Linked DNA regions of Canis lupus familiaris. The protein of the gene in region 1 purifies or fractionates together with the protein of each later gene. This does not show direct contact. Links are inferred from orthologs where the notes say so. Each region holds a gene or a part of one and is shown on either strand. Other genes may lie near its edges. The genes, in order: VSX1, USP12 and WDR20.

What was found.
Region 2: the proteins of VSX1 (region 1) and USP12 purify together in Homo sapiens (affinity purification with mass spectrometry; 3 studies listed by BioGRID and IntAct, counting the BioPlex papers as one, with this or other methods). This does not show direct contact. The link is inferred for Canis lupus familiaris from reciprocal best matches to the Homo sapiens genes VSX1 and USP12.
Region 3: the proteins of VSX1 (region 1) and WDR20 purify together in Homo sapiens (affinity purification with mass spectrometry; 3 studies listed by BioGRID and IntAct, with this or other methods). This does not show direct contact. The link is inferred for Canis lupus familiaris from reciprocal best matches to the Homo sapiens genes VSX1 and WDR20.

What each region holds. Positions count from the first base shown.
Region 1 is NC_049244.1:1,440,975-1,450,927, reverse strand, and holds the start of VSX1 (visual system homeobox 1), read left to right. Parts: upstream 1-5,182; coding exon 5,183-5,603; intron 5,604-7,353; coding exon 7,354-7,432; intron 7,433-7,916; coding exon 7,917-8,040; intron 8,041-9,135; coding exon 9,136-9,316; intron 9,317-9,953. UniProt on the Homo sapiens protein: Binds to the 37-bp core of the locus control region (LCR) of the red/green visual pigment gene cluster. May regulate the activity of the LCR and the cone opsin genes at earlier stages of development. Dispensable in early retinal development.
Region 2 is NC_049246.1:12,490,844-12,500,667, reverse strand, and holds the start of USP12 (ubiquitin carboxyl-terminal hydrolase 12), read right to left. Parts: upstream 4,686-9,824; 5' UTR 4,671-4,685; coding exon 4,461-4,670; intron 1,526-4,460; coding exon 1,445-1,525; intron 1-1,444. UniProt on the Homo sapiens protein: Deubiquitinating enzyme that plays various roles in the regulation of the immune response and inflammation.
Region 3 is NC_049229.1:70,550,202-70,560,019, forward strand, and holds the start of WDR20 (WD repeat-containing protein 20), read left to right. Parts: upstream 1-4,592; 5' UTR 4,593-4,661; coding exon 4,662-4,910; intron 4,911-5,054; exon of another isoform or gene 5,055-5,074; intron 5,075-5,216; exon of another isoform or gene 5,217-5,236; intron 5,237-7,824; coding exon of another isoform or gene 7,825-8,013; exon of another isoform or gene 8,014-8,035; intron 8,036-9,818. UniProt on the Homo sapiens protein: Regulator of deubiquitinating complexes. Activates deubiquitinating activity of complexes containing USP12. Anchors at the base of the ubiquitin-contacting loop of USP12 and remotely modulates the catalytic center of the enzyme.

The DNA.
Region 1 (9,953 bases):
CAGAAGTCCAGGAGGCCACTGATATGGGCCTGAGCTGCAGGAGCACATAGCAGGCTGGAGATTGATTTGGGAGTTCTGGGCAGGCAGATGATGACTGAATCATGGGATCTCACATGAAGGAGAGAGAATGGTGTTCAAGGGAACCTAAGAAATAGGATGTGTGAGTTTGGGTTTCCCCAGAGGTGGGCTCTGAGTCAAGTCTTCCTTGCACATTAAATGAATTGATACATATAAAGCATTTAGCACAGCACCTGGCACACAGCCATGCTCCATTCATGGAGGCTGTTTGGTTATTAACATATTTTTTGATATACATCATTTTAAAATAAAAATTTCTCTCTTCCTTCTTTTGGTGCCCCTGGTTTACTGGTTCCCTTAGTTCACATCTGGCTGCTGTTATCCTAGCCCTGAACTTGAGCATTCTCCATAGCTCCTCAGAGCATGGGGGAGTAAGTGGGGGTTTGTATGCTCAGAACATATTTGTTAAACAAAGGACATGTGGTTCATGAGACATCACTAGAAGACCCTAATTCTCAAACTTGAAGGGGCAGTAAAGTCCCCTGGAGAGCTTGCAAACACATATTGCTGGGGCCTCCTTTTTTTTTTTTTTTTTCAAAGATTAGCTTTTCTGATTTTTTAAAATTATTATTATTTTTTAAACTTTTATTTATTTATGATAGTCACAGAGAGAGAGAGAGAGAGGCAGAGACACAGGCAGAGGGAGAAGCAGGCTCCATGCACCGGAAGCCAGACGTGGGATTCGATCCTGGATCCCCAGGATCGCGCCCTGGGCCAAAGGCAGGCACTAAACCGCTGTGCCACCCAGGGATCCCTGATTTTTTTAAATTATTATTTATGATAGTCACACACAGAGAGAGAGAGAGAGAGAGAGGCAGAGACACAGGCAGAGGGAGAAGCAGGCTCCATGCACCCGGAGCCTGACGTGGGATTTGATCCCGGGTCTCCAGGATTGCGCCCTGGGCCAAAGGCAGGCGCTAAACCGCTGTATCACCCAGGGATCCCCTGGGGCCTCCTTTTTATCATTTATCTGGGAGATGCTTTAGGGCAAAACTGAAGGGAAAGTGGGGAAGTGAGGTGGGAATAGGTCCCTAGAAGCAGAGCTGAAGAGTGAGTGTGGATGTACGAGCTTTACTGGGGAAAGGGCTAAAGAAGTCTCAGGAACTAGGAAAGTCAGAGAAGAGGGAGGGAGCTGGGCAAGAGTGTGCTCATAGGTCCAGCTGAGCCTTGACCTGATCCTTCAGCAGAAAGAGGTTTGGAGCGGAAATGGCTCTGCAGAATTGTCCCTGGGGAGGCAAGTGGTAGTCTTGTATCACATCTACTGTAAGTCTGTCAAGCATTGTGGATGGGGGTGGGGGGTAGGTTAAGGCTTTTGTCAGCAGAGGGCAATTCTCATTATGAGCAATGATAAGCTGTTAGCCTACATTCACAGCAGCTGGAGGGAGGTGCCAGGGCCCAAGAGTGGGAGTCTGGGTGGGGCACCCATAGCACCTAGAAAGAAAGCAATTTGGGATATGATAATTAGCAAGTATCCCTGCTGGGGACCTTGGGAAGCAGAATAGAATGCACGCTTGAGTTATTTGACCCTAGGTGGTCCAGAGCTTCTTATGGCGTTTTAATCCTTGGCATCTCGGGTTAGTGGACAAAGTGGCCTCTGGAGACCAAAGAAAGGTCCCAGGCAAAGACGTGGGTGATTTGGCACTGGAGGTTGGGCAGGTCTGCAGACAGAATAGTCAGGCAGGGCACGAGATAGTGGACAGGGCAGGACAGTGTCTACGCAGCCTTTAAAGTGGGGGGGGGGGGGGACACAAAAGCAACAGAGAAGGAGCAGCCAGAGAGGCAGGAAGAAAATCAGAGGAGGAAGAGACCCACAGGGCTGTTCGCGCGCTCACATGAGCCACATTTTATTCACCCGTGCCCGTTCCTCTGCCAGCCTGGCCGGGCGCCTCCTCAAAGCCACGGCACGTCTCGGTGGAGCCACTCACACGCTGTCGGGTGCCAGCAGGGCGCTGAGTGGAGCCGCAAGCGCAGGAGGCCAGGGGAAAGGGGGCGCACCTTCCAGCTTGGCCCTCCACCCGGGCGGGAGACCTTCCCTGGAAAATAATGAGCGCAGAAATCCTTACTGATTAGTTAAATCCCGGATAATCCCGGCTGATGAAGACATATCCGGACCCCTTCACAGATTTAGGGTTCCGGGACCACTCCCGGGGGTGACCCGGGGCTCGGAGGGCTTGCAGGGGGCGGGGCCTGGGAGGAGCCTCCCGTCCACCCCGCCCCGCGCCGAGGCGTCCTCCCACCGCTTGCGCCCACGCGTAGACCCGCCTGTCGGGCGTCGGGGACTCGCAGGGTGAGGGCCGGCGCGGGGACCTTTTCCAGTCTCCTAGACTAGGGACGCGCTCTCCGCACTGGGCGGCCAGTCCCGCTCGCTGGGCGGCTTTCCCATCCCCGGTGCCCGGCCTCGGGGCCGGTTCCTCAGAGCTCCGGCGCAGGTCTGCAGGTCGAGTCCGCCGCCGCAGCTGGGCGTGGGAGTGGGGACCAGGCAGTGGGGCCCGAGGCGCTGTTGGGGAGGAGACAGTGCGAGTGTGCTCGGGCGCTGCGCTCCCGCCACTGCCACTCCGCAAAAAGGAGGACGGCCTGGTTCCATCCATCTGTCCAACCCGGTCCCGCAGGCCCCTTCCTGCCTGCAGGTGGAGCGGAGGAGGCGTTAGGGACGCTCCGGAGCAGGAATTGCAAGCTCCCCTTGGAGCTCCAATTCCGGCCCCCTCTGCTTTCTTTCAGCTTCGCTTTCCCGGTTTCTCCATCCGTGTCTGGTGTGACCGGGGGGAATAAGCCCCAGTTTTTCACATCTGCAAAAGAGATTTTTTGTAAGATCCTTCCGAAGCGGTTGTTAACCAGTGTGCTCTTGGCTCTGTGCGGCGGTCCCCGTGCGGAGTGACCGAAGTGGGGCTCCTCCCGCCTGGCCTTTTGGTTCCTCCGGATTCCAGGCCACCCACTTGAGGCCGGTCCTCTCGGGATCACCTGCCTCCCCTGGCAGCGGTAGGGGACGGAGACTTCAGGATCCTAGCGTAGGCGAGGGGACGCGGCCACTGCAGCCTCCAGCTTCCGTGCGACCTTCTCCTTGCGAGTGACCCTGCTCGGGCAGATGGTCCCGCCTGTCTACCCCGGACTTGGTCTGCAAAATGTGTGGATCGTTAGGTGTCTTTCTAAACTGTGGTCCCAAATTCTTAATTACAAACGACTATTCTGCGGGACAGAGAGCTAGAGCACCTTGGCTGGGTCCTGGACCACCAATACCTCCTTCAAACCCAGAGATGGATTTGGGGAGAAATCCCCGGCGGAGCCAAAAAAGACGCAGGCATGTAAAACCGCCCCCTACCCCGAGCGATTCAAATGACAATTATCCCAAAGGAAACGTATTGTTTTGCTAATACCAGAAACAGCTTGTGTTGGGAGGGGAGAGTTGGGTCCTCCTTTAATAATGGAAAGTTAAGGGGATCCCTGGGTGGCGCAGCAGTTTGGCGCCTGCCTTTGGCCCAGGGCGCGATCCTGGAGACCGGGGATCGAATCCCACGTCGGCTCCCGGTGCATGGAGCCTGCTTCTCCCTCTGCCTATGTCTCTGCCTCTCTCTCTCTCTCTCTCTCTCTCTCTCTCTCTCTGTGTGAGTATCATAAATAAATAAAAATTAAAAAAAATAATGGAAAGTTAATGCGCAGCCTGCCGCAATTATCTTTATCGGAAGCCCCTCTTGTAATCTGCATGTTTAACTGAGGACCCACGCAAAGGTGCAGCGAGCCGGAGACCCACTTTTCCGCGCTCGCGCTCCTCTCCAGCGCGCGCAGGGAGCCAAGCAGAGTCCAGGTGGGCTGGGAGTTGCCACCTCCCTCGCTAGGTGACCTCAGGCCGCCCGGTTCAAGGGGAGGGACTGAGGAGATTCTATTTCCAGGATTCTGTTTGGGAAGGGTGGGCTCAGGTTTTCCAGCGATTCGGGTTGAGTGGACTCAAAAATTCCGGCGTGTGAGCCTGAGCCAGGAGTGGTTTACTCATGTGCTTTGTTTGGCGCCAACTTTAACAAATTAGGGAGTTTCACAGGAAAATCGGGTTTTCTCTGAATAATCATAAAATCTGACAGTAATTTGCTTCCGTGAATAGGGGTGCCTCCCAGTAGGCAGTTCTTATGTTCCAATTTACTCCCACCCGATTTAAAATTGCCAAATGAAATATTGATACATTCTTATACTAAAAATATATTCATTGTTTATCTGAAATTCAAATTTCACTGGACCTCCAGTACTTTTGTTTACTAAGCCAAGCACTCTTCCCGGTAGTCTTAGCCTGGTCCACTATACATCTGTCTTTCTCTCCTCTTCTCCTCCCCCCAGCTCTTGTGAGTTTTGCACCCATTACAGCTCAGCCGTTAGGGAGCTGGGGGTGACTTTGGCTGCAGGTAGAGTGGGAATGGATTAAATAAACATTTTCCACTCCATTCCCCTTGGAGATTTTCAGGGAAGTCTTGGCTCTGGGGGTGGAGTTGGAGGGCTGGCCTGTCTCACATTAGTGGTAGTGTGGCTGGGAACGAGGTCCTAGTCCTTTTAAAAAAATATATTTTTAAAGTTTTATTTGTTTAAGGAATGTCCACACCCCACCTGGGGATGAACTGAGGACTGAAGATCAAGAGTTGCATGCTCCCTTGATTGAACCAGCCAGGTGCCAGGAGGCTTAATGGGTAACTGGATCTTGGGAGGAGGCTCTGGAGCAGCTGTGATCAGGACTTCTTCTAGACAATCTGGAAGGATAAGGAAGACCACACCTCGGCCTGTAATATGCGGCTTTTAGAGAAACCTGCAGACAGCAGGGTCGTCCCCTTCCTCCTTTCCTCTCTTCGAGAAGGGTGTGTGTGTCGGGGGGAGGGTGGCTGGGGAGTGGGCAGGAGGACAGCTGGATGGGAGAGAGAAGGAGGTGATTGAGGGGACTGCAGCTGGGAGGGCGGCGACTTGGGGGAGGGAAACGGGTGGCGTCCCCATCTCGCAGCATCCGAGCCCCACTGATTGGAGCCCTCCTGGCCTCCGCGCCCGACGGCCGGTCCAGGAGTATAAAGCATCCTCTGAGCTGCGCCACTCGGCAAACGTGACCTAGAGAAGGTCCGGCCTCGCCGACTGAGAAGTCATGACCTACAGGGCCGCGCTTTCCGACGGGCGCCCCGGGAGCAGGGCACTAGTGCCCGGCGGCTCCCCCAGCGGCTCGCGCCCCCGCGGCTTCGCCATCACCGACCTGCTGGGCCTGGAGGCTGAGGTGCCTGCGCCTGCCGGCCCCGGTGCAGGATCGGGTTGCGAAGCCTCCGCCGCGCCCTGCGCGGGCCCAGGTCTCGGGGGCGCCTGCCTGGTGCGCGGGGCCCTGCCACTGGGGCTCGGCCTTCTCTGCGGCTTCGGCGCGCAGCCTCCTGCGGCCGCTCGGGCGCCCTGCCTGCTCCTAGCCGACGGGCCGTTCCTGCCACCCGGGGCGCCCGAATCTGCTGCCCCGCAAGCTCCAGGTCGCCCGCCCGCCACGCTCAGCAGCCAGAAGAGAAGCGAGAGCGTCTTGACGTCCGGTAATCAGGCCAGCCCATCTGGGTCTTGCTCCTGTTTGCTCGGCTTGGGGCCGTGTACGGGTAACTCACTGAGCCCGGTCCCTAGCATCCGGATCTAAGGGACGTCAGGACCCCAGAGCGTGGCCCCGTCCAGGGAGGCGTGTTCTCTCGGCCTTGCTCCCTGCCCCTTGTCTCTCCCCAAATCCCTGCCTCCCCTCCGGGTTCACCGGAGCACAGCGAATATCACCACCCCCCAGTTCTGGACCTACCAAGCGGGTCTCCTGAGGGCATAGGTCGGGGAGGCCGGGGCGTGCTCGTTTCTCACGAGCACAGCATCCAGGAACTCGCGGCGCTCAGAGCCAGGCTGGATCCACAGATGGAAAAGCACGGGCGGCCGGGGGCTGGAACTGTCCGCCTTCTGGGGTGCTGAAGGGGGAGTCGGGACTGCGCTTCCACTTCGCGCTGCCCTCCCTCCTCCGCACACGTGAGAGGGGAAGCAGCCTCGCCCGTCTCATTGCGCTGTGCTCAGCATTTCGTTCCGACCCCAGCTATTTCCTCAAAGACGTCGAGGCGGGTTATGGGGAAAGAGAAGGAGGCCATGAAGACTTTGCAAAGAGCAAAGTCAAAGAAATTGAGAGGTTTTGGGCTCGTGGATGAAAGAAAAAGAATTATACAAGAAAACGTGGACTGAGAAACTATATTGTAGAACCTGGAGCTGAGCATCCAGGCAGCCAAGGCAAAAAGAGAGTATATTGAGTCTCCACTGATAGTAAAAGTAAGCATGTCAGATCAGCAGGCAAGCAAACTTTTACTCTACTTTAAAAAATGTTTATTCAGGAGTCTCTGTGTAAGAGAAAATGAACCCTTCTATTAGTAATTTCACTAAAAATGCAGAAACTGCCCTCATAGGATGGGTTCCTTCCTCTGTGAGCACTGATAAAATGAAAGGCAAAATATGACTAGATCTTGTCAAGAGTGAGTTTCCTGGATCCCCTCCCAGAGACTCAGAATTGGTACAGCCGGGCAGGGAGTGCAGTTCTGGCAAGAGTTGTGATGTCAAACCTCAACTCCCACCCTGCTTAGAGAAATGTTGGTGTATTGGTTAAGATGAGGGGTTGCAGGTAGAAGGAGGTGAATGAATTTGGGAGCTGGAAGCTAAGTGAGATAGAGAATGCTATGAAGCTTCACGGAATCTAGGTGTGGATCCCAACCTCACCACGTACAACCTGTGTGATCTTGGGCAAGTTACTTAATCCCTCTGCACCTTAGCTTCCTCATCTGTAAAAATAGGATAATACTAGCAGCTACTGTGGAGTTCTTTTTATTTTATGAAGGATAACTGCAATAATGCATGGACAATGCTAAGCAGAATGCCTGGAATATACTGAGTGCTAAAAATGCTAGCATGTATTATTAAATAGTCACATCCCCCAACACATCATAACTTCAGTCCTCATATTGAAATCCAGAGAAGAAAGTGAAAACTCTGCTCACTTTTAAAAAAGATTTACTTATTTACTTGAGAGAAAGAACACAAGCAAGAGAGGGAGAGAGAATATCAGGCAGACTCCACATTGACTGAAGAGCCCAACATGGGGCTCGATCTCACAACCCTTGGATCATGACCTGAGGTGAAACCAAGAATCAGGGGCTCAGCTGACTGTGCCACCCAGGTGCCCTGAAAAATATGCTCACCTTTAAAAATAGTTTTTTAAAAAATAAAAGATAATGTGGTCACCTTTAAAGTGTTCTCTCTCCCCTGTGCTAACAGATGAGGACAGCCCATCTGAAGATAGGAGTGGCCTGAAGGCGTCCCCATCTTCAGGCAAGAGGAAGAAGCGGCGGCATAGGTATACAGCTAGATTGTCTTTCCTGACCCTTTGCTTAAGACACAGACTCTGAGAACCTATGGTGCTGCATTAAGGCAAGGCCCTGTGGCCTCCTGGCTGACACACAGCAGCAATTTGGGAACATAATTCTGCTATTCACAGGAGGCTACAGGATAATCTTTCTAGCATTTTATTTTTTAGTTTAATTTAATTTAATTTTATTTCTAGCATTTTAGAGACACAGGTTTGTGTACCTTTAAAATAGACCTTCTTAGTATTAGTTGATAGAATTCATCAAGGAGGGAAAATATGCTAAAGAACTCTGTTTTGTTTGAAGCAAACTTCTGGACTTTCCAGAGGCTAATCATTCAGAGGTGAGATATCCAGTTACCATGAGGTGGACTTTTAGGGTGTAGAAAGGCAGGCACAGGGTCTTCTAAGTCTGGGAAGCCTGGCAGCCTCCTGTGGACATGCACTCATGTGTGTGCTTCGGGTCTCCCTACAGGACTGTTTTCACTGCCCACCAGCTGGAAGAGCTGGAGAAGGCATTCAGCGAGGCCCACTACCCTGATGTGTATGCCCGGGAAATGCTGGCCGTGAAAACTGAGCTCCCTGAAGACCGAATACAGGTGTCTGGGGTCCCCTTTCTCTATCCCAAAGACATCACAGAGAACGTGTTTTTTTCACATATACACAGCTACCTCTGAACAGCCTAGCATGTTTCCCTTGACACACGAACTGCAGCTCACCTAGCTGAGGGTACCACAAATGCTAGACTCATTCTGTATGTTTATTCCAAGAAGATATCCCCTGTACCCTGCATGTCTTTTTTCCTTTGTTAATTAATTCTTTAAAGTTGTAACCATCTCCATGTCATATATAATTGGCCCTGAATATGTTTATATCTATCTATATCTATATCTATATCTATATCTATATCTAATCTATATATCTATAGATATATGTACACTGACACAGAATTTTGTTCTTTGTTTTTACAAGAAGGTATTGTGTTATGCTTCTTAGCCTCTTTGCTTGACAAGACATCTTGGACATTTCTCCAGGTCAAAAGATAATGCCACCAACTCTTTTTTTTTTTTAAATTTATGATAGTCATACACACACACACAGAGAGAGAGAGAGAGAGAGGCAGAGACATAGGCAGAGGGAGAAGCAGGCTCCATGCACCGGGACCCCGACGTGGGATTCGATCCCGGGTCTCCAGGATCGCGCCCTGGGCCAAAGGCAGGTGCTAAACCACTACGCCACCCAGGGATCCCCCACCAACTCTTTTTTAACAGCTAATCAATATTCCACATTATTTCTTTATTAAGATAGTATTTTCAAAGAGAAATATTACTAACAAACCAACAACCTAAGATTACAAGGGACCAATGCCAGTATGAACTCTTTCCAATCAATGAGAAAAATCATGAAGCATAGTAGTCCACTTTCTTACACAATGTGGGAAAGAATACTTTGATTTTATTTTTGTTTTTTCTGGCTGTATGGAAAACCTCAGTGGAGGCCGATTGCACATTATCTTCACAATGATAAGTACCTGTGGGTTTTGAGTGACTGGTAGACACAGCTTCTGTAAGGTCTGGGACTTGAATGGATAGTTGGCTGTTCTTAGAACTCCTTGCTCAGGAACACCTAGGAGCTTCCTCTTTACTGTGTCTCCTCCTGTATACTCTTCTGCTTCCTGTCCTGCCTCACATCAGGTCTGGTTTCAAAACCGGAGGGCCAAGTGGCGGAAGCGGGAGAAGCGCTGGGGTGGCAGCAGCGTGATGGCCGAGTATGGGCTTTATGGGGCCATGGTGCGACACTGCATCCCACTGCCAGACTCCGTCCTTAACTCCACTGAGGGTGGCCTGATTGGTTCCTGTGCACCCTGGCTCTTGGGTAAGGAAGAGGACCCTGCAGCCAGTAAAATGGCCAGAGTTGCTGGGGGAGGGGCCAGGGTTCCCATGAAGGGCAGCCATTTGCTAAATCCAATCAATATAAATTTACTCAGATTTGGGCCCAAAATATCACATTGATTTTAATTAATTCAAAGGATTGAACTATGGTCAGTTGACTTGTTTTTTATTTGCACTGTGTAGACAGTGTGTGGAAAGATCACACCAGGCCTTGGTTCTAAGAGTGGAATGATATACTTGTAATATGTGAAATATATTTCCAAAATGTTGAGTGTGGTTACAACTTTTGGGAACCATATGATTTAGAGCTCATGATAATAAGAATGAGGACAGTGCTAAGCAGTGAAACTTGTAGGTGATTAACCCCCTACATACTAGAGCCAGGAGATCCAGGGTTTGGGTCCTGGTTCTGCCATTAACAACCTACTTTTCTGTCTTTTAGACTTTTGGTGCTAGAACAGTCTACATGGGTGAGGCTTAAGCTTTGGGGCTGGACATTCTGGATTTTCTGTTTGCTGTTACTAGAGACTAATGGGCAGGGATCACATCTTGGAGGAATGAGTCCAAGATAGCACCTGGGGTAGGGTGAGAGATTAGAGTTAGGTGTGTGTGTGTGTGTG
Region 2 (9,824 bases), on another chromosome or scaffold:
TCAGATCATGTTAAGCAAGGGAAATTAAAGATATTCAATTAACTCCCCTTCTCCCCACAAAACACCAATGATAGTGAAAGAATAAATTAAGCAAAAATTAAAAGGCAAAAAAAATGGGGGGTAGGGGTAGAGGAGTACACCTAAAAAACACAGGTATGGCTGTCAAGCCTTTAAAAGGGTCATTTAGACACCTAGATATGTAACCTTTCTTTCAACCACAGGTTTAGTTTCCCAGAAGCTGCACCTGCAAGGGAGAGTGTGATTCAAGAGCCCTTGAGGACAGCATCAAGGCATGGAACAGAGAACAGAGGGCTCAACAAAACTCTGAACCAAGCCACCCCAAGACTGAAACTGAAGAAGCCTACCCTCTTCCCCCACTTCTGGCACCAAGTAACAGTCCCAGAGGAGATGCTCCCGCCACTGCTTTTGGAGGGTGGTGGGGGAGGAGGTGAAACTATTACTAAAGCCTGCTGCCAAGGACATGGAAAAATAAAGCAATGGTTAATTCCATACCGGGAGAATGGGCAGGGATGGTGGTAGGAGAGAGTTTCTTACCTACCATAACAGGAAGTTAGGAGACTGTTTTTAATAGCAGCATAGCCACTTTATTTAGAATGTAGGGGTAGATTCCAGGAAAAATAGCCAGCAGAGGAATGCAGCCTCCTCTGAGGAGGGGCACTGTGGATTCTGTTACAAGCTTCATACTCCCAAGCTGACTTCCAGGGCAAGGGGAAACACCCATATCACTTAAACCACTTTCCTCAAATCGCACAAGAAATCCATCTCATACGTCACAATCTCATACGTCGCAAGTAACACACTGGTGTGTTCAATGGAACTTAGTCACCTGTATTATCACCTCTCTATATGTGGTTTAAAACCCTCACCATGGATCTACCTAACAGCACAGTACAACATAGATCTATGGTGTGCACCAATGATTCAGAAAAGAGTTAAAAATTCTAAAGAAAGTTCTTTCAAAGTTTAAATGATGTATAATTACTAGAACTACCTCCACAAGGACTGGGGATGTATCTTTTTCCTAAATTTTGCACTCATATATCTATACTAGTTGAACAATGCCAGAAGTGGATAAATACAGACACATAAAGGCATTTATAAAAGTTTATTTATTATACTTGTACATTCGGATCACTTACATTTAGACATTTACAGAATTCTCAAAGATTTAGGAGATCATTTGGTACAAGCCATACAAAATTTTGGCTATGAAAAATTCTAACACAAAATAGGAAAAATCAGGCTGTCAGGTCAGAAACTGTTCTAAAGCTCTTAAGACCTCAGGCAACTTTGTTTCCCTTCCATTGAAAAGAGAATTTCAAAACAAGTTTCTTGACATTAAGTCTACTGATACAAATACACAATACTCTTAAAAACTCTTTCCAGTGATACTGGTGAAGGCTAAATACCAATTGATACTTACATTGACTAATCCAAAATAGTGCTCATTGACTGGAAACTGTTCTGGACCAATCTCTTTCTCTAATGCCGAGGCATTGGCGCCCTATAAAATAAAATAAAAAATAAAAAAAAAACAAATTTTAGTATTTGTAGTGTTTCCATAAAATTTTCAGTTACATAGGCATTATAGAGACATCCTTTAAAAAACTGTTTCCTCTAACTCCCTAACATTACTGAAAGAAAAAAAAAAAAGGATGACAGTGAAGAACAAAGGATTTTTTTTTTAAGATTTTATTTATTCATGAGAGAGAGAGAGAGACAGACAGACAGACACACAGGCAGAGGGAGAAGCAGGCTCCATGCAGGGAGCCTGACATGGGACTCGATCCCGATCCAGGTCTCCAGGATCACACCCCGGGGCTGAAGGCGGCGCTAAACCACTGGGCCACTTGGGCTGCCCAAGAACAAAGGATTTTAATAATATGACTAAAAACTAGTTCACAAGAATTTCCTCAGGAAACCAAAGCATGGATGGAGAAATTATATCTATAATGTGTTACTTTTTTCCTAGGTAATGGATTAAAACTGCTGCTGCATCATGTACTGTAACAGGAGAGCTGAAACCAAGAATGTAGATATTCAGTGACCAAACAATTCTCTGGAGGTATATGCCTGAAAAATCCCCATATGGAACCCAACGTGCCAAGAATGTTGTGTGAGGTAGCACTGACGACTGCATGGCTGACAACCATCTAGAGAGTCTGTGTTTTATACACAACAACATACTATGCAGAGTCAGCATAATGGAATTAAATTTACATACAAAAGCATGACTACTTCTCAAAAACATGTTAAAAAAAAAAGAAAAAAATGAGATTAACCACATATGTTAAAAAAAAAAGCACACGGCAAATGGGCTGAAGAATGTACATTAAGCATACTTGAGTGCATGCTGAAAGAGGCCTGGGACATGAAACTGCGAGTGAAGGACAAAAAAGGAAAAAACTAAAATGAAGCCGAACGAAAGAAGGGCCTTGCCCAGAAAACAAATCGTGTGTCCTGGTCTCGGGAATACAATTGACTCAACTCTCTGCACTGAGGTTTGAAAATAAAGTGAAGGCTGGGGGCAGGCGTGAGGGTGGGGTGCCCCCATGCACTGGCACATGACACTAAATGGTCTCTAAACACAGCTAGAAAGGAAAATGACACAACTCTGAAAACATGAGAATTCTAGATGTGTTTACTTGAAAATTCCCAAGAAAACATATCACCAGATACATAAAACTGATATGGTATTACTCACAACATACCTCAAAACCACTCTGCAGAGTTATACACAAGACAACACGCACACTATGCCTCTCCAAGTCACCGACATGAGGTTCATACCACCTCCGTGCTCAGCCCACTCCTGTTGTTTCCTGACTGAGCTCCACTCCTGGACTTGGGAAGCCCAACCTTTGTTAGACAACATATCCTCAATTTCCTGATTATAAGTACTGATTAAAGGGACCTGGTGGATTGGTGGCCCAATTCTACCAAAACAAGATATTTCCTCTAATGTCCTCCAGCCATCCAGCATGTGTATATAAACATGATACTGCCTTTATTTTTAATTTCAGACTTATTTTAGGTTTTTTACAAAACCTTGATATAACTGCTAATATTTATACCTAATTTGGCCTTCCGCCGTTTTATACCAACATCAAATTCAATTATTAGAGTGACTTCAAGATCTACTGGAGAAATCTGTCTTGGTGGGAACATGGCAAGCCCCACTTCCCATCCCTGCCACCTCAAGTTATCATGTCACAAAATTTTCTCCCATACATTGAAAGGTATCAATGAACTCCAATGTTTACCACCTACTATAAGGATTCAAACAGATATTAGTTTATTCAAATAAGTATTACCCCTTCCCCACAACAGGGAAGAGGATGAGGGAGGGAATGGGGGAGGAGGAAGAGAAAGAAAATACAACCTTATTACATCTATTTATGTGGAACAGTAAGATTCCAATACACATAACTCAGGAAAGTATTTCTGGCTTTTAGGATGAACAGAGTAACATGTGAATATTCTCTCTCTAGTATAATACCAAACATACCACAGACCATGTATTCTGTCCATCCCAGAGGACCCAATTAGCCCCCTATACATCATATACTTTCATGCACTGCTTAGATCCTCTAGCTGCCCTGCATCCTCAAGGTAATTTGACTATGGATCAAATTATTAGCTTCTCTGCACCTCAGTTTCCTAACTGTAAAAGGAAAATATCACCAAATACTCCATAGGATAGGTACAAATGAATGGAATGAATGGAATTTAAACCTCTGTAAAAGCATCTGGCACTGCCTGTTACATAAGCTAAACAGGTGTCCCATGAATGTTGGTTCCCTTCTCAAAAGTCTGAAGGAGAAATGAGATAGCCATCACCAAAAAAACTGATCTCCTCACTCTGGGCAATTCCACCAAGCGGCCCAGTACAGTCAAGTCACTGTACTCCCCAAAAGGCTAACAATAAAGCGAAACCACAATCCAATCAGAGGTGTGGGAAGACTTCACTCTGAAGTGTGATAAAATGGAAACTGCCACAAACCCTATTCATTTAACCCTTCTGATTTAAGAAGCTTCATTTGCAAAATAAAAGGGTCAATCTCCTCACTGATTTTCAAAAACCCAAGCTCCAAGTTTATGTGTTGGGTTTTCAAGTAATCCTTTGCCTAAATTAAGGTTTTCACAGTTACGTATGTTTAGAAAATTAAGACTCGGTAATTTTTGAAGTCTCTTCTAATTCAACATTTTAACATTACCAATCACTTTCACCAATATTTCTGAGGACATTTACTATATAACACAAAACTCCATGGAAGTCCAAATCAAACAATTAATGCCCAAAACACAATTCAACAGGGAGAGATTATAGCAATAGATGGAGTAAGGATAGCAGCTCCAAACAGAAAGTACAAAGAGAGAATGGAATTTACTTTAGGACCATTCTAAATTAAAGTACAGCATAGTAACATATACCTTACCATGATAATGATGCTGTATAGCAGACTCTGTGAATGTGCAGGAGGATATTTCCTATGGCATGAATTCAAGATTTTCAGCAGAAACAATCGAAGTGCATCTCTACTTCTGGCTGAATGCGAACTACAAAGGCAAAGAGCAACTACGGAATTCAGTTTCTGATGACTGGTTTTCAACGCTAGAGTTAGATATAGCTGGGGAAAAACAGCCATCAAGCCAAAAGTTGGCTGTATAATTTTTAGTATCTTTACAAGAGTTCTCAATGTCATCCCTTGAAGATTTGGTTGAAGGCTGACAAACTCTATCATGTCAAATAAGGGACAACCAAGCACTCTTCAAATTTAAATTGACCCCAATATCCGATAGTAATGGCTCTGAACAATTCTCCATCTCTACACTTGAGAAATATGATCCTACTACAATTAACAGGGGTTATTAAATCAGTGATTTTTTTACCAGGATAAAGGAAAGAAATGGTGGCATGCTCAGGTAAGAATTTCTGCTCCAAAGCTTTGATAGGTATCAGAATTCAACTGTGTTGTAGGAGTATGTGACACAGGGAGAAGGAAGAAGACACTCTTTTTTAATTGTTCTGTCTCTATTTTTATAACTTACACAAAAGATTATTTAGACTCAGTATCTATTACTAGAGAATTCATCTTAAAGAAGCAATTAGGTATTCATGACTCTCTTGATGAAAACAAGATGGATGAATTTTAATATTAAAAAAATAGTAATTGATGGAGCTAGTGAGAAAATGAGGAATCTGCAGAAAACAAAAACCAAAATGATGGGAGCACACTGGGAGATATGGCAATGCCAAAGAGGTTTCATTTCACACTGAGGGTATTTGTCAACATGAGTGACCTTTACACTCTTTTCTGGCAGCTGAATGAAATGGAGTGCAGGGAACGAAAACAAGACGAAAGGAAGGCCAACAGAAGACCTGAGCTTGAAAAAAGACCTGGATCTTCATGTCAGGGTGAGCAAGAAATAATCCTGTACCACAGAGGAGGCAGCAAGGAAACATGCCTGACATGTCCTTGGCACTGAGGATGGAGGATAGCTTCCAAAAATTCATAACCCCAAGTTGACCCTCATGAAAAACTATAACCCAAATCCACGCAAGCTGTATCATCCTAAACAAAACCGCCCAAGCAGATAATGTAATTCAAAGAGACCCTGAGTTGATGGTGCCCTCTTTACCCCACAACTAGCAGAATTACAAACTAGCTCTGGAAGTTGAAATTAATCCACCCCACCAAAAATTCCCACAAATAAAACTCCAACAGATTTGAGTTCACAATCAAAACTCATATACACACACACACACAAAACAATAGGAAAATAAAGCACTATGAATAAAAGCCAGCAGAAGACGACAGTAGAATTGGACTCTCAAGATATTAAATATCAGAATTATTTAAGACACAATATAAAACAAATGTGCTGGAATCCCTGGATGGCTCAGCGGTTTAGCACCTGCCTTCGGCCCAGGGTGTGATCCTGGAGTCCCGGGATCGAGTCCCACATCGGGCTCCCTACATGGAGCCTGCTTCTCCCTCTGCCTGTGTCTTTGCCTCTCTCTCTCTGCGTCTCTCATGAATAAATAAATAAAATCTTTTAACAACAACAACAAAAAACAAATGTGCCAAGAAACAACAATTGCTTGATCATAAGAACAAAGAGAAGACTCTAAAGCCTAAGCAGATTTTTAAAAAGAACCAAATCAAACTTCTAAATATAAACATTATAATAATTGAAACTAAAAACTCAATGATAACTATGGAAGGCAGTAACAAAAATTAGAAGCTGGGAAGAAGTAGGGATGAAAGAGCAAAGCACAGAGGATTTTTAGGGCAGTGACAATATTCTCTAAAATACTAAAATGATTGTTCAGAATGTATACCGACAGTAAACAATAACACAAACTATGGACTTTAGGTGATCATGATGTTTCAAGGTAGTTCATCAGTTACGACAAATATACCAGTCTGGTGGGGGATGCTGATAATAAGGGAAGCTATTTATGCACACGTAGGGGCAGGGCTATACAGGAAATCGCTGCACTACCTCTCAAAAAAGAGTCTTAGTAAGATAAATTAATTGAGTCAGAAAAAAGAAAAAACTCAATGGCTGTGCCTAAGAAACAAGATTCATAGTGGGTAATACTTAATAAGTATATACAACCCTGAGATCAAGACCTGAGCTCAGATCAAGAGTTGGACGCTTAACTGACTGAGCCACCCAGGCACCCCTAGGTAGTATTTTTTAGTCAATATAATGCTAGTAATTCAAACTGACATTTTATTAAAAATAGGAAATGTTTTACGGAAAATATTTCATGGAAGAATGAGTCAGTTGTGGAGCTGCTGTAGTGAGACCACGGTACACTATTATGGCACTGACCTAGCAAAGCTACAGACGTAAGTCTGGTCCTGGCCTTGCCACTAACTAGGTGTAACAACTTGAGGCAAAATGCATCTCTCTCTGGACCTCGGTTATCTCGGATGTAAGACCTCAAAATCTATAGTACTTCCCATCCCCACATGTCTAGTAATGTGTGAATCTATTGGTTCTTGTGATCTCATTAAGACATTAAGGAAAAACAGGTGGATAATCTATTAAAGGTCAAACATTAAATTCTGAATAAAAGGACATATTATCACATCCTCAGAAACACTCATCCAATCCAAGAATTTGCAAGCCATGAAGTGCCTCCTTAAACCTACCTACTATGAATTCTTAGAAAGTACAGCAACTTTCTTTTTCATGACAAAAAAATAACCATCCAAGTGAAAGAAGAGTAACCTGAAACTATAAGGATGCCTTTGATCTATCATTTTGAAGATACCATCTGCAAACAGGAAAAAAAGAAAATAACCCAGGGGAAGGCTGCTTCTGATTAAATCATTTTATATGGTCAATCATGGAAGCCATGCCTGACAGCCCTCCATTCTGCCTTTATGAGGAAGACAGACAACGCAATACATTTGAGCAAGAATAAAACATGGTAAATTGTAAAAGGATGAATATCTACTACCTAGAAAATATACTTATCAAGAATGTCTTTTTATACTAGACAACTGTAGTGAACTATTAGTTCCCAGACTTGTTTAAAACAAATATGATAAAATACATTTTTCCCCACTCTCATATTTCAAATCATATCTACAATCCAGTGTTTACCATTCCAAGTGTAACACTGAAGGGTCACACCAGGTCAGTACCCAAAGGAGAACTGCCAAAACAGGCAGGAAAGGCTTCCCGAAAAGGAGACAATCAAGTGACCTTGGGAAACTAAGAAAGTTCTGGAGGAACAGGAAGAGCCCATGTGAGGATATGAACACAAGAGAGACGAAGGGTATCTGAGCAGTGAAAGGATGAATTCAAAGTACAGAAAATACAAGAAGCATGAATCTTAAACAAGAGAATGAAGAACAGGAAGGCTGGAAGCCCACACCTGCTCTCCTGGCAGACAGCATGTCCCTGAAACTGCATCAGAGACAACAAAAATGTGTATAAAAAATCATTCCTACAGGCATCATAAAAATCATCTCAAAGCAGTAGTCCTTTATAAAAGGTGAAATTCACCAACATTCTGAATACCTACCTTCTACCTAACCCTGCACAAAAAGTTATAGAACATGACTGCCAAATTGTAATACCCACTTAGTGGATAGTGAGATTAATGTGGTGGATTTAACCATTTGCTTTTTAAGTAAAACAGAAAAGATCATGGTATGTCTCCTTACAAGTAAACAACAGTTTGCAAAACTTTCGTTCCAATAATTAAGTATGTGTGTATTAGGTCTAACTGCAAAATCTATTTTCATTGTAAGTTTAAATCAAAAAAGTTTTGATATATACAATGCTACCAAAGATTTAAAGGGGTAAAACAAAATTGCAAAGTCATAATCCAATTGGGAAGTAAAAATTGGTTTTTCATGATGACATACACGTAGAAAACTATTATAAATAAATTGAAAGTTACAGAGGAGAAAGTAAATGTCAAACTATGCTAGTATATTGCACATACTATAGGATATTAGGACAGGAACAACTATGAGAGCTGAGGAATTTGGGAAAGCCTTCATAAACAGATGCAACTAAAAAAGCAGTCTTGAATTTTTCTTCAGAGCTATTTCATTATAGCTTTACATGCTGGTAAAATGAGAGCCCTTAACCACTCCAACTGTGGGCTACACAGTGGACAGAGTAATGGACTGTAATTAGGAAGCCTGTGTTCCTGTTCTGGTTCTAATAGGAGTTAACCACAGTGTCATCTTCCAAAATCACTCCACCTTGCTTTTCTCATCAGCACTGTAAGAGAGACCAGACTTATCTGGTCTATCCCAAATTTAAAACACTGTAATTCTAAGATAGCAACAACATAGAGTCACAATCAAAGTGTGAACTTAGAACAAAATATTTCACCCCTTCATGCTCCAATTTCCAAATCTGCAAAATAAGGCAGGCAATATCCTTATGGCCTGTTTCTAAAAACTGTATAGAAGATTTAGAACAATGTCTGGCAGAGTAGGCACTAAACAAATAGTTCTTTTACCCCTTCTTACTCCCACCTTCAGATCAACACCCCCAAAAGACTGAAATTGTCAAAGTAACTAAGAAAGTATTTGGAGGTTCCGCACTGATATACAGTCATTCTAAGAATCTTGGTCTAGGACTGCTAAGTAACCTCTGGTTTTAATTCGGCCATCAAAGTTAAAATGTGCTCCACATAAAGTACAAAGGATTCTTATGGTTGAACCAGACTTAATAGTAGCACAGCACCATCAAAGCATATTACAAAGGGCTGCAAGTGCTGTCTGAGAATCCGAGATCAGCACAAAGCAAAGCCACCCTTGGTAAGACAGCATATGGTACAAATAATATAAAGAAGGAGGTACGGTCTCCAACATGAATGGAGAACTCAAAACGCCTTCCTATCTCTGAACTACTATATAACCAATTATCAACCTCTGGAAATCAATCACATTCCTGAAAGGCCCTGGCCTCTGTTACCATCACAGGGCTTCTGATAGCCATTTGTGTAAGTTCCACGGAGATAGAGAAACCATATAAACTTATTTTCCAATGGTGTATGTGTACATGTTCATATGTACATCCCATCTCCCCTCCATCCTCCATACCACCGCAAAAATCTTCAACCCAATAGGGAAGGCTTCTGGCAAGTTTTCAAAGTTTTCGAGAACATAATTCTTTTCAGAAGAAATTAAAGTAGCTTACTTTCTTCTTCAGCTACTACCATAGAAGCACATATGTAAAATGTTACACACGTAAAATTCCCCATGTAAGCAATTAGGGAAAATTCAATTCTACGATTAATCACTGGCCAAATAATT
Region 3 (9,818 bases), on another chromosome or scaffold:
TCTGTCTTGCTATTTTTTGAACATGTTAGGTACACTTCTGCCTTGGGAATTCTGTATGGCTCCCCCCAGATCTTCCCATGGCCCACTCCCTCACCTCTTTCAATTCTTTGCTGAAATGTCACTTTCTCACTGAACCTTACCTTGACCATGTTTTATCACAAACTGCAAACTACCCATCGTATTCCCAATCCCCCTTATTCACTCTACTACTTTTTCCTAGCACAATCACTATACAATTTACTAACTTGTGTTTATTGTTTATCTAGTCTTCTCCTTGCAAGAATATAAACTCTGAGTGATTTTGTTTACTGATGCATTTCAAAGGCTAGGACAGAGTGGCACATGTGGGCATCAAATAAATATTTGAGGGACGCCTGGGTGGCTCAGCAGTTGAGTGTCTGCCTTTGGCTCAGGATGTCGTCCTGGAGTTCCAGGATCAAGTCCCATATCGGGCTCCCTGCATGGAGCCTGCTTCTCCTTCCTCTGCCTATGTCTCTGCCTCTCTCTGTGTCTCTCATGAATAAATAAATAAAATCTTTATTAAAAAAAAAAACTATTCGAGGATATAAACAACTTTAACATGGTCCCTCGTATCTTAGAATGTACTTACAATCTGGTTGAAAGTCAGCATATATACACTGAAACTTAAATATCAACACAAGATAATTAGCATGAGCTGACAAATACCAAAAGAAGATAATTTTTTAGGATATTACATGTGACAAATGAAAACTCAGGAAAGTGGGCAGCCCTGGTGGCTTGGCGGTTTAGCACTGCCTTCAGCCCAGGGCATGATCCTGGAGACCCCAGATTGAGTCCTACTTCAGGCTCCCTGCATGGAGCCTGCTTCTCCCTCTGCCTGTGTCTCTACCATTCTTTCTGTGTCTCTCATGAATAAATAAAGAAAATCTTTAAAAAATTCAGGAAAGTACCACAGAAGTTTAAACATCTGGGGGCCCTGGGAGGCTCAGTGGGTTATGGATCTGCCTTCGGCCCAGGTCCTGGTCCCAGAGTTCTGGGACGGAGACTCACATAGGGCTCCCTGTTCAGTGGGGAGTCTGCTTCTCCCTCTCCCTCCCTCCCCTGCTCATGAGTACTCTCTTGCTTTCTCTCTCAAATAAATACAATCTTTAAAAAAAAAAAAAGCTTAGAGAGGTAATTATTAATATGGGGGGGGGGGTGCCGGGGTGGTTCAGTTGGGTGCTGGACTCTTGAAAATCTGATGAAAACTACACACTCCAATGATATAATGAACACGTACATAAAAGTTTAATACAATTACTAGGACTTCAAGCACTCCATGAAGCCAGCCATAATGCTGAATAGACAATCTTTGGTTTCAAGTATGGTTTTTAGGGTTGGAAAGGCTTCATGAAGATGATGAGACTTAGCTAGTTCTTAAAGAACAGGGTATGATAAAGCGGAAAGGAAAGAGGGGATCCCTGGGTGGCTTAGCGGTTTGGCGCCTGCCTTTGGCCCAGGGCGCGATCCTGGAGTCCAGGGATTCAGTCCCACGTCGGGCTCCCGGTGTGGAGCCTGCTTCCCCCTCCTCCTGTGTCTCTGCCTCTCTCTTTCTCTCTCTATATCTATCATGAATAAATAAATCAATCTTAAAAAAAAAAAAGAGGAAAGGAAAGGAATAGCTTTCTACGCCAGAGAAGGAACTAAGGGTGATGGGAGTACAGTTTGACTTGAATGGGGGATTTATGTAATATGTAAGAATAGGCTGTGAATTGCTAATTTAATATGATTATTGCAAGTCATTGAGAGTCTTGGGGTAAGAGAATATAATATCTAAGGTACTGCTTAAAAAATTAATTTGGTAGATGTTTACAGGAGGAAAGTTGAGAGAAAAACTAAAATCAAGGAAATCATTCATGAAGCCATTACATAAGGATTCAAGTTTGAGAATGGAAAGGAAACGATCAGGTTTAGAGATGGATGACTGTGAGGCACCAACCCATTCAGAAACGCCTGGCTTGACAGAGAAAATTAGAAATGAACTGTTTTTAGGTCAGGTCCTGTTATATAAATTTGGGTGTTATTATTGAATCCTTGAGAGTGTGTGTGGGAACGAGAGAAAAACATATTAAGAATAGACATTATTGGGACGCCTGGGTGGCTCAGTGGTTGAGCGTCTGCCTCTGCCTCAGGGCGTGATCCTGGAGTTCCAGGATCGAGTACCACATGGAGCTCCCTGGAGGGAGCCTGCTTCTTCCTCAGCCTGTGTCTCTACCTCTCTCTGTCTCTCATGAATAAATAAAAAAATCTTAAAAAAAAAAAAGATATTATTGAAAAGCTCTGAATAGGACAAAAGGGACAGCCTATTATTGTGATAATATGTTGAACTTACATAGAATAAAACCTTAACAGAAAACCTGAGGTATTATTAATTGTCGTTAATTATGGTTAATTGAAGGCTAATAAAATTTGTATTAATTTTTGCTTGCTGAGCTTTTTCTTTTCTTCAAAAAAGTATGCTTTATTCCCCCTCTTGATAACTAGGGAACACAGCTGAATTATTATTTTTTCGATTTTATTTATTTGAGAGAAAGACATGAGCGAGAGCAAGAGTGGGGATAAGGGTGGGAGAGGGAGAAGCTGACTCCCAGCTCAGCAAGGAACCCAAGAAAGGGCTCCATCCCAGGATCCCTGAAATCATGACCTGAGCGGAAGGCAGACACTTAACCAACTGAGCCACTCAGGTGCCCACACCTGAATTATTTTTAGAGGATTCCAGACGTCACTATCCCTCAAGGGTCTCATTATAAATATGTATTTTCAATGTAAAATAACTTAGGAAATTGGAATAAATCTGTGGTGACTGCAGCACACATCCTGGCAATTTTAAGACTTTTGATATCTATTTGACTTTTAGAGAAAGGCAGAGAACATAAAAACAATTACAACCACAAACTGTAGCTATTTTAGGGGTCTATTAATTAAATAGGACTTTGCTCTAGTGTTTTTTTTTTTTTTGCCAACACGAACAACGGATACAGGATGTTGGTGTCAAAGGCATTGTTACATCATTGGCAGTACCTACTTGCCTTGTAATACATAAGATGTTTGTGATTCAGGACTCCTCTACCTCCATCTACTAATTTTGCGACCCTCCAGCTATGATTTGAATTTAAAGAAATAGTTCAGGGCAGGCGGGTGGCTCAGTGGTTTAGCACCTGCCTTCAGTCCAGGGTGTGGTCCTGGAGTACCGGGATCGAGTCCCACATTGGGCTCCCTGCATGGAGCCTGCTTCTCCCTCTGCCTCTCTCTCTCTCTCTCTCTGTCTTTCTCATGAATAAATATATAAAATCTTAAAAAGCGGGAGGCACCCCGGGTGGCCCAGCAGTTTAGCGCCTGCCTTCAGCTCAGGGCCTGATCCTGGAGACCCGGGATCGGATCGGGTCCCACGTCGGGGCTCCCTGCAGGAAGCCTGCTTCTCCCTCTGCCTGTGTCTCTGCGTCTCTCACAAATAAATAAATAACCTCTTTTTTTTTTTTTAATTTCAATAAAGACATAGTTCATTCTCGGTGTAACAAACGTCGGCTTCCTCCACCCTGTAATTCTCCCAGGAAATTTCTGTCGCTTTAGAAACTTTATGTGCAACCTGCCAAGGAAACCCAGCTGTAAGATAGTGACTGTCTAATCCTCGACCCGGGCGCCTGTCCTTCCACATCTACATCTAGCATAGCGTATGCACACAACTCTGCGTAGCAATCTGGCAGGTCCCACTTGAGCTGGTTTTTAATTTTTTTCTTTTTCACCAGTGGCCTCTAATTGTCAAGCTACTGCGCATGAGAATAGAGCCTCGGGCTTCCCCTGGGTCTCTGGTTCCGAAAGCCGCTGCCCGACCCGACGCTCCCTCTTTGCTCCAAACACCTGGAGAGGACACACTGAAGCAGCGGAAGCGCCAGCACAACCTACTTCGCCCGACAGGCCGCCGGAGAGCCGACCTGCAGAGACACGCGCCAGGACCCACGTGTGCACCCACGTCCAGGGCGCTCCCGCCCCTTGCCCCCGCCCCCCCGCCGCCGGGACGCGGGGCGCTCAGGGCCCTCGGTACCTTCTCGGAAAGTGGCTCGGGGAGGCGCGGAGGGGTCCCCGAGCGTCGTGCGGGCTGGCGCGGGGCAGCGGCCCCCAGCTTCGGGGAGCCCCCGCCGTGCCCCGAGGCAGGACGCCGGGGCTCCCCACGTGCCCACCGCGTACGGGGGCGCGGCCCTCTCCCTCCGCTCCTCCGGGCTGCGCCGGCCGCTCCAGGTCACCTCTGCGCTCGCGACCGCAGCCCCGCCGCGGCGTCTGCTCACCGGCGGGGCGGGTGGCGGGGAGGCGGCGGCGGCGGAGGCAGCCGCGGCGGGGGCGGAGGCGGCGGAGACGGCGGAGGCGGCGGCCTACCGCCTCACCTGCACCGCCCGGGGGCCGCCCCGAGGCCGCGCCCGGGGGCGGGGCCTGCGGACGCCCAGCCGCGCCGGGCGCGCCAGGTGAGCGCGCCTGCGCAGTGCGGCCGTAAACAAGCCCGCCCCTGCCCCTCGGCCGGCCTCCGCGGGGCCGCCTCGCGGGTGGGCGGGGCCACGAGGGAGAGGCGGGGGGCGGGGGGAAGGGACGGCGCCTGCGCGGTGGGCGTGATCCGGGCACTTAGGGCAGGATGAACGCTGCTTTCCAAGATGGCGACGGAGGGAGGAGGGAAGGAGATGAACGAGATTAAGACCCAATTCACCACTCGGGAAGGTCTGTACAAGCTGCTGCCGCACTCGGAGTACAGCCGGCCCAACCGGGTGCCCTTCAACTCGCAGGGATCCAACCCCGTCCGCGTCTCCTTCGTAAACCTCAACGACCAGTCCGGCAACGGCGACCGCCTCTGCTTCAATGTGGGCCGGGAGCTCTACTTCTATATCTACAAGGGGGTCCGCAAGGTACCGACCCGGGCGTCACCGGGGCTCGCCAGCGGCGTGGGCGGGGGCCGCGAGCAGGGTGGTGACAGTGGGGGCCGGGGTGACCGGTAGGGGCGGCGGTCGCTCGCACTTCGGAGTGGGCCGGTAACTCCGCTGGGGTGCTCCGGGGGAAGGGGGATTCGCGAGTAAGGACGGTGGTGCTGCCAGGGGGTGGGGGCGGTGGGAGGGGCCCGCGGGGTGCGGGGCTGGGTCCGGGAGGCCCGACCGGGCGCCGGCTGCCTTCCCCCTCGCAGGGTCCGTCGGGCTCCGACACGGCCAGGGAGCGGGCCTGCGAGTCCCCGGAAGAGGTGGGGTGGCCGTCGCGTCTGCCTAGACTGCCTGGCCTCCCGGGAGAGTTGGGAGCCTCGCTGCGGGGTGGGAACGGGGGCGCCGGGCGGCTGGGGAAGGTCTGCAAGGCGGAATCCCGGCTGGAAGCGGAGGACTGGAGACTAGGTCAGGAGGGACCTGCTCGGCACCGGGGGCTACTCCACCTGCTACCGCACTGACACTTCCTAGGAGCCTCTCTCTCTGCTGTTGACACTTTCCCCAGAAACCTCGGAAGGAGGACTGGCTGTCACTTTTCTCTGCCGGAGAACCTTCTCCGGAGAGATTAAGAGGGGTCATTTTGGCCCTTACAGAACGGAAAAGACTTATAGTTGGCAGGTCGAAGTGATGTTTTCAGTGATCTAAGCTAGGTTCATAGGGGTTCTGTGTCAGCGTGCCCGGATCATTCTTGTCCAACAAGTCAGACTGTGTCCCAAAAGAGGGAGGGATATGCCTTAAAAGCTACTTTACAAGAATCCTTTTTTTTTTTTTTTTTTTTTCCCCTTGGCGGGCGACTTAACATTAATTCTGTGAAGCATGTAATCATCCTTTAAAAATATCTCTTCGAAAGAAGCAACTTATTAGAGCTTTTCCTTTATTGGCTGTGTAACTCTGTTCTCCTTGAGTACTGCTTACTTTTGAGAGGTGGTCTTTGACTTGGAATTGATGTGTCCCCACAGTACCTAAGCCTGGAGAAAGGTGGCAACGTTCATTTACAAGTGTTTTTTTTGTTGTTGTTGTTAGTGCGAAAGCACATTGCCCGTATTGAAGAGCGAACATTCTCTAGGATGTAATCTATCCAGATGCAGTAAGTTTTTGCTTGGTTTCAAGAACTAGGACGGGACAGTAGTATCCAGAGGTAGCAAGCGGTCTCATTTGTTCAAGGTGCATCTTTTTTTTTTTTTGGTGAGTGTTCATGATAAGCCTTCTACTGTGATTGAGACATGGTGTTATTACTGAAAGTAATTCCCTTCAGTTCTTTTTTTTTTTTTTTTTTCTCTCTCTCTCTCTTTTGGAACTGGGAAAGTGTGAAGTAGTTAGTAGTCCAGGAGCTGAAGTTTTAGTACTGCTCTCAACTTTTTTGCTGACTTGTTGGGTGACTTTGGATGAGTTTCTTTAATTCCAATCTGCTCCTCTTTAAAAAGTGAACATTGCAGTACTCACGTTGTAATTTTTAATATAATAGCTGTAATGAACTTTAAAGCCTGAAATATTTGGTAGGTGTAAAATACAGTTAAAATAAGCATTAAGAGTAACTGTCACACGGGAAGCTGCTATCCTGCCATTTATACGAGGACTGAAAGGATCAACTTTTTCTCTGGAAATAAGTTTAGAATTTTAAGTTACTAACACTTGTATAAGATTTTAAACGTGCTGAATAGCTAAATTTACCAACAGTTACTAGTTTCGACGTTACCTTTTTTATAAGAAAGTTTTCTTTGAAAGTGTGTTATTTCTGAGGCATTCTCTAGTGGCAGACCTTATCTGGACCTGGTCGCCTTGGTTTGCATCATAAAACAGATCTCTTGCTTGGAAGTATCATAGTTGTGTTCTCGTAGTGGGATGCTATTTGACGAAGGTTAAAACAAGGAGAGCTTTTCAGAACCACACTCCAAAATTATTTTAAACAAGACAAATCTTAAATATGTAGATTTCTTTTTAGCTGTATAATTTATTTGGGTGCTAACTTTTTTTTGGTAAAATTTCATTTACATGCAGTGACATAGCATTGTATGGTGGACATTTTAGTTCTCTTCTAGCCATTGTAATTCTTTTAGAAAAATTGTTTTCCATGAAAGAGTTTGCATGTATTTATTGTTATTTTTGAGTATAAGTGCTTGTTTTTAAGACTGTCTTTTTTGATTTTAAAATAGAGCAGATAGTTTTTCTTACTCAGGAAACCGAAATTTACTTTTTGAGGTTAGGAGTTATAACTCTCTTCTTGACAGTTGGTCATTTTGACTGTTTTTATTAGTTTTTTTTTTTCATTGGGGCATACAGAGTTTTACAACAATCATTTGGATTATTCAGAAGGTCTAATATGGATGCATACATTCAATTTAAATGTAAAATAAGTGAAAAGTAAGTCTTTGAAAAACTTAAGTCATTTATTTTTATTTTTATTATTTTTGTAAGATTTTATTCATTTATTCATGAGAGACAGAGAGAGAGAGAGAGACAGACAGACTCAGGCTGAGGGAGAAGCAGGCTTCCTGAAGGGAGCCTGATGTGGGACTCGATCCTGAAACTCCAGGATCATGCCCTGAGCCAAACGCAAACGCTCAACCCCTGAGCCACCCAGGCGACCTGAAAAACTTAAGTCATGAACTATGTGCTGCCATTCCTGAAGGGAAGTATGGAGTCATGGAGGGAGTGGAGTGAATGAGGAGGTAGTCTCAAATGTGAGTCAAGGAGTGTATTCTTGGCCCTTTAAAAAGATGTGCAAGTCCGTTTCTAGAGCTAGAGGGGACTTTTGAGTTTTGCAGTTTCACCCTTTTCCAGAAAACCAAGGCTAGAGAAGGAGTAACCTGTGTTACAGTTTTTTTTTTTTTTTTTTTCTTCTCATGGTCAGGAAAATGAAGCACAACTGAATCTAAAGAGCTGTCATAGTGAGAAGGGACTGATCAAGCTTTTTGATCGCACGGATGCCATATCCTCCAAGCATTTCAAGATCTGCCCCAGCATTTTGCCATTTATTATCTCATCGAATCTTGATAGCATTCCTGTGAGGTACAAGAAAGCATCTTCTTTTCACAGTTGAAGTTTGGGATGGAGTTACTTGTGTAAGGACATGTAGTTTTGTGAATTTATTTTGCTTACCTGAAGATAATCTGAGTATTTATTTATTTTAAAAGATTTATTTATTTATTCATGAGAGAGAGAGAGAGAGGCAGAGACATAGAGAGAGAAGCAGGCTCCTCACGGGGAACCTGATATGGGACCTGATCCCAGTTCCTGGGATTACGACCTGGGCTGAAGGCAGACACCCAACTGCTGAGGCACCCATGGGTCCCATATGAGCATTGATTTAATATGTTAATCATTTCAGCAAATATTTGAGTGACTATAATGCTAATAATTATACAAGGTGGGGTATCTACAGTAGAGTATGACCCTATCCCTCTCTCCAAAGAACTTATCAATTCTTAGCCTTTAAACCTTCTTATAGAATACTTGGCCTTCCTTTTTTTAAAAAAAAGGTTGTTTTGGGATAAAGATGCCAAAGGTAGCTGGGTTTATTGGACCAGTGCTTTCATTTTATGAGATGTTTTTATATAAATGTGAATGGCCACCATTCAGATCTCAGCTTAAATGTCACTTCCATAGCATATCCTGCTTTGAATTCCCAGGCTAGATCAACTTTCCTTCATATTCTCATAACATCCTGAACTTTGCCTTTCTAGCACATTTCTCAATTTGTAATTCTCTGGGTGATAATCTGTCTCTTCTATAAACAAAGATTGCTTAGAAGAGAGACCATGTGTTTTCTGCTTTCACTGTTTTCCTAGCACCCAGCAGAGTGTCTGGCATGAGGTAGGCCCTTACTATTTATTTGTTGGGTGAATGAATGGGTAAAGCATCAGTGTCCATCTATACCATACTCTTAATTAATTAATTAATTAATTAATTAAAGTAGGCTCCATGCTGGGCATGGAGCTCATCGCAGAGCTTCAACTCACAACCCTGAGATCAAGACCTGAATTGAGATCAAGAGTGAAAGCTTAATGGACTGAGCCACCTAGGCACCCCATATGCCATACTTTTAAAAAGATCTCTTCAAGCCAAATAACCTATTTAATTTTGGTCTCCCAAATAATGGATATTTTTAGTGGCTCACATCTTTGTAAAGACATTTTGCTTTTTAAATATTTTATTTATTTATTAGAGACACAGAGAGAGTGGCAGAGACGCAACACAGACAGAGGGAGAAACAGGCTCCATGCAGGGAGCCACATGTGGGACTCGATCCTGGGACAGGGATTATGCCCTGAGCCAAAGGCAGCTGCTCAACCACTGAGCCACCCAGGCGTCCCATTTGTAAAGACATTTTAAAATTATTGTTAGTAGGTAACAAATTTAGCTTTCTTACAACTGGGAAATTGTGTAGCAAGAGACCATGAAGTAATGGAAAGTAACCAAATGACACGTTACTTTTAATCTATTTCTGTCACAACATATTACCTATCAAAATTTATGGGGTTTTTAATTTATTTTTATTTTTTAATGATTTTATATATTTATTCATGAGAGACACACAGAGAGAGGTAGAGACACAGGTAGAGGGAGAAGCAGGCTCCACGCAGGGACTCGATCCTGGGTCTCCAGACCATGTCCTGGGCTGAATGTGGTGCTAAACTGCTGAGCCATGGAGGCTGCCCTCAAATCTGTGTTCTAATAGACAACTTTTATTTATTCATTTTTTTTTAAATTTTTATTTATTTATGATAGTCACACAGAGAGAGAGAGAGGGAGGCAGAGACACAGGCAGAGGGAGAAGCAGGCTCCATGCACCGGGAGCCCGACGTGGGATTCGATCCCAGGTCTCCAGGATCGCGCCCTGGGCCA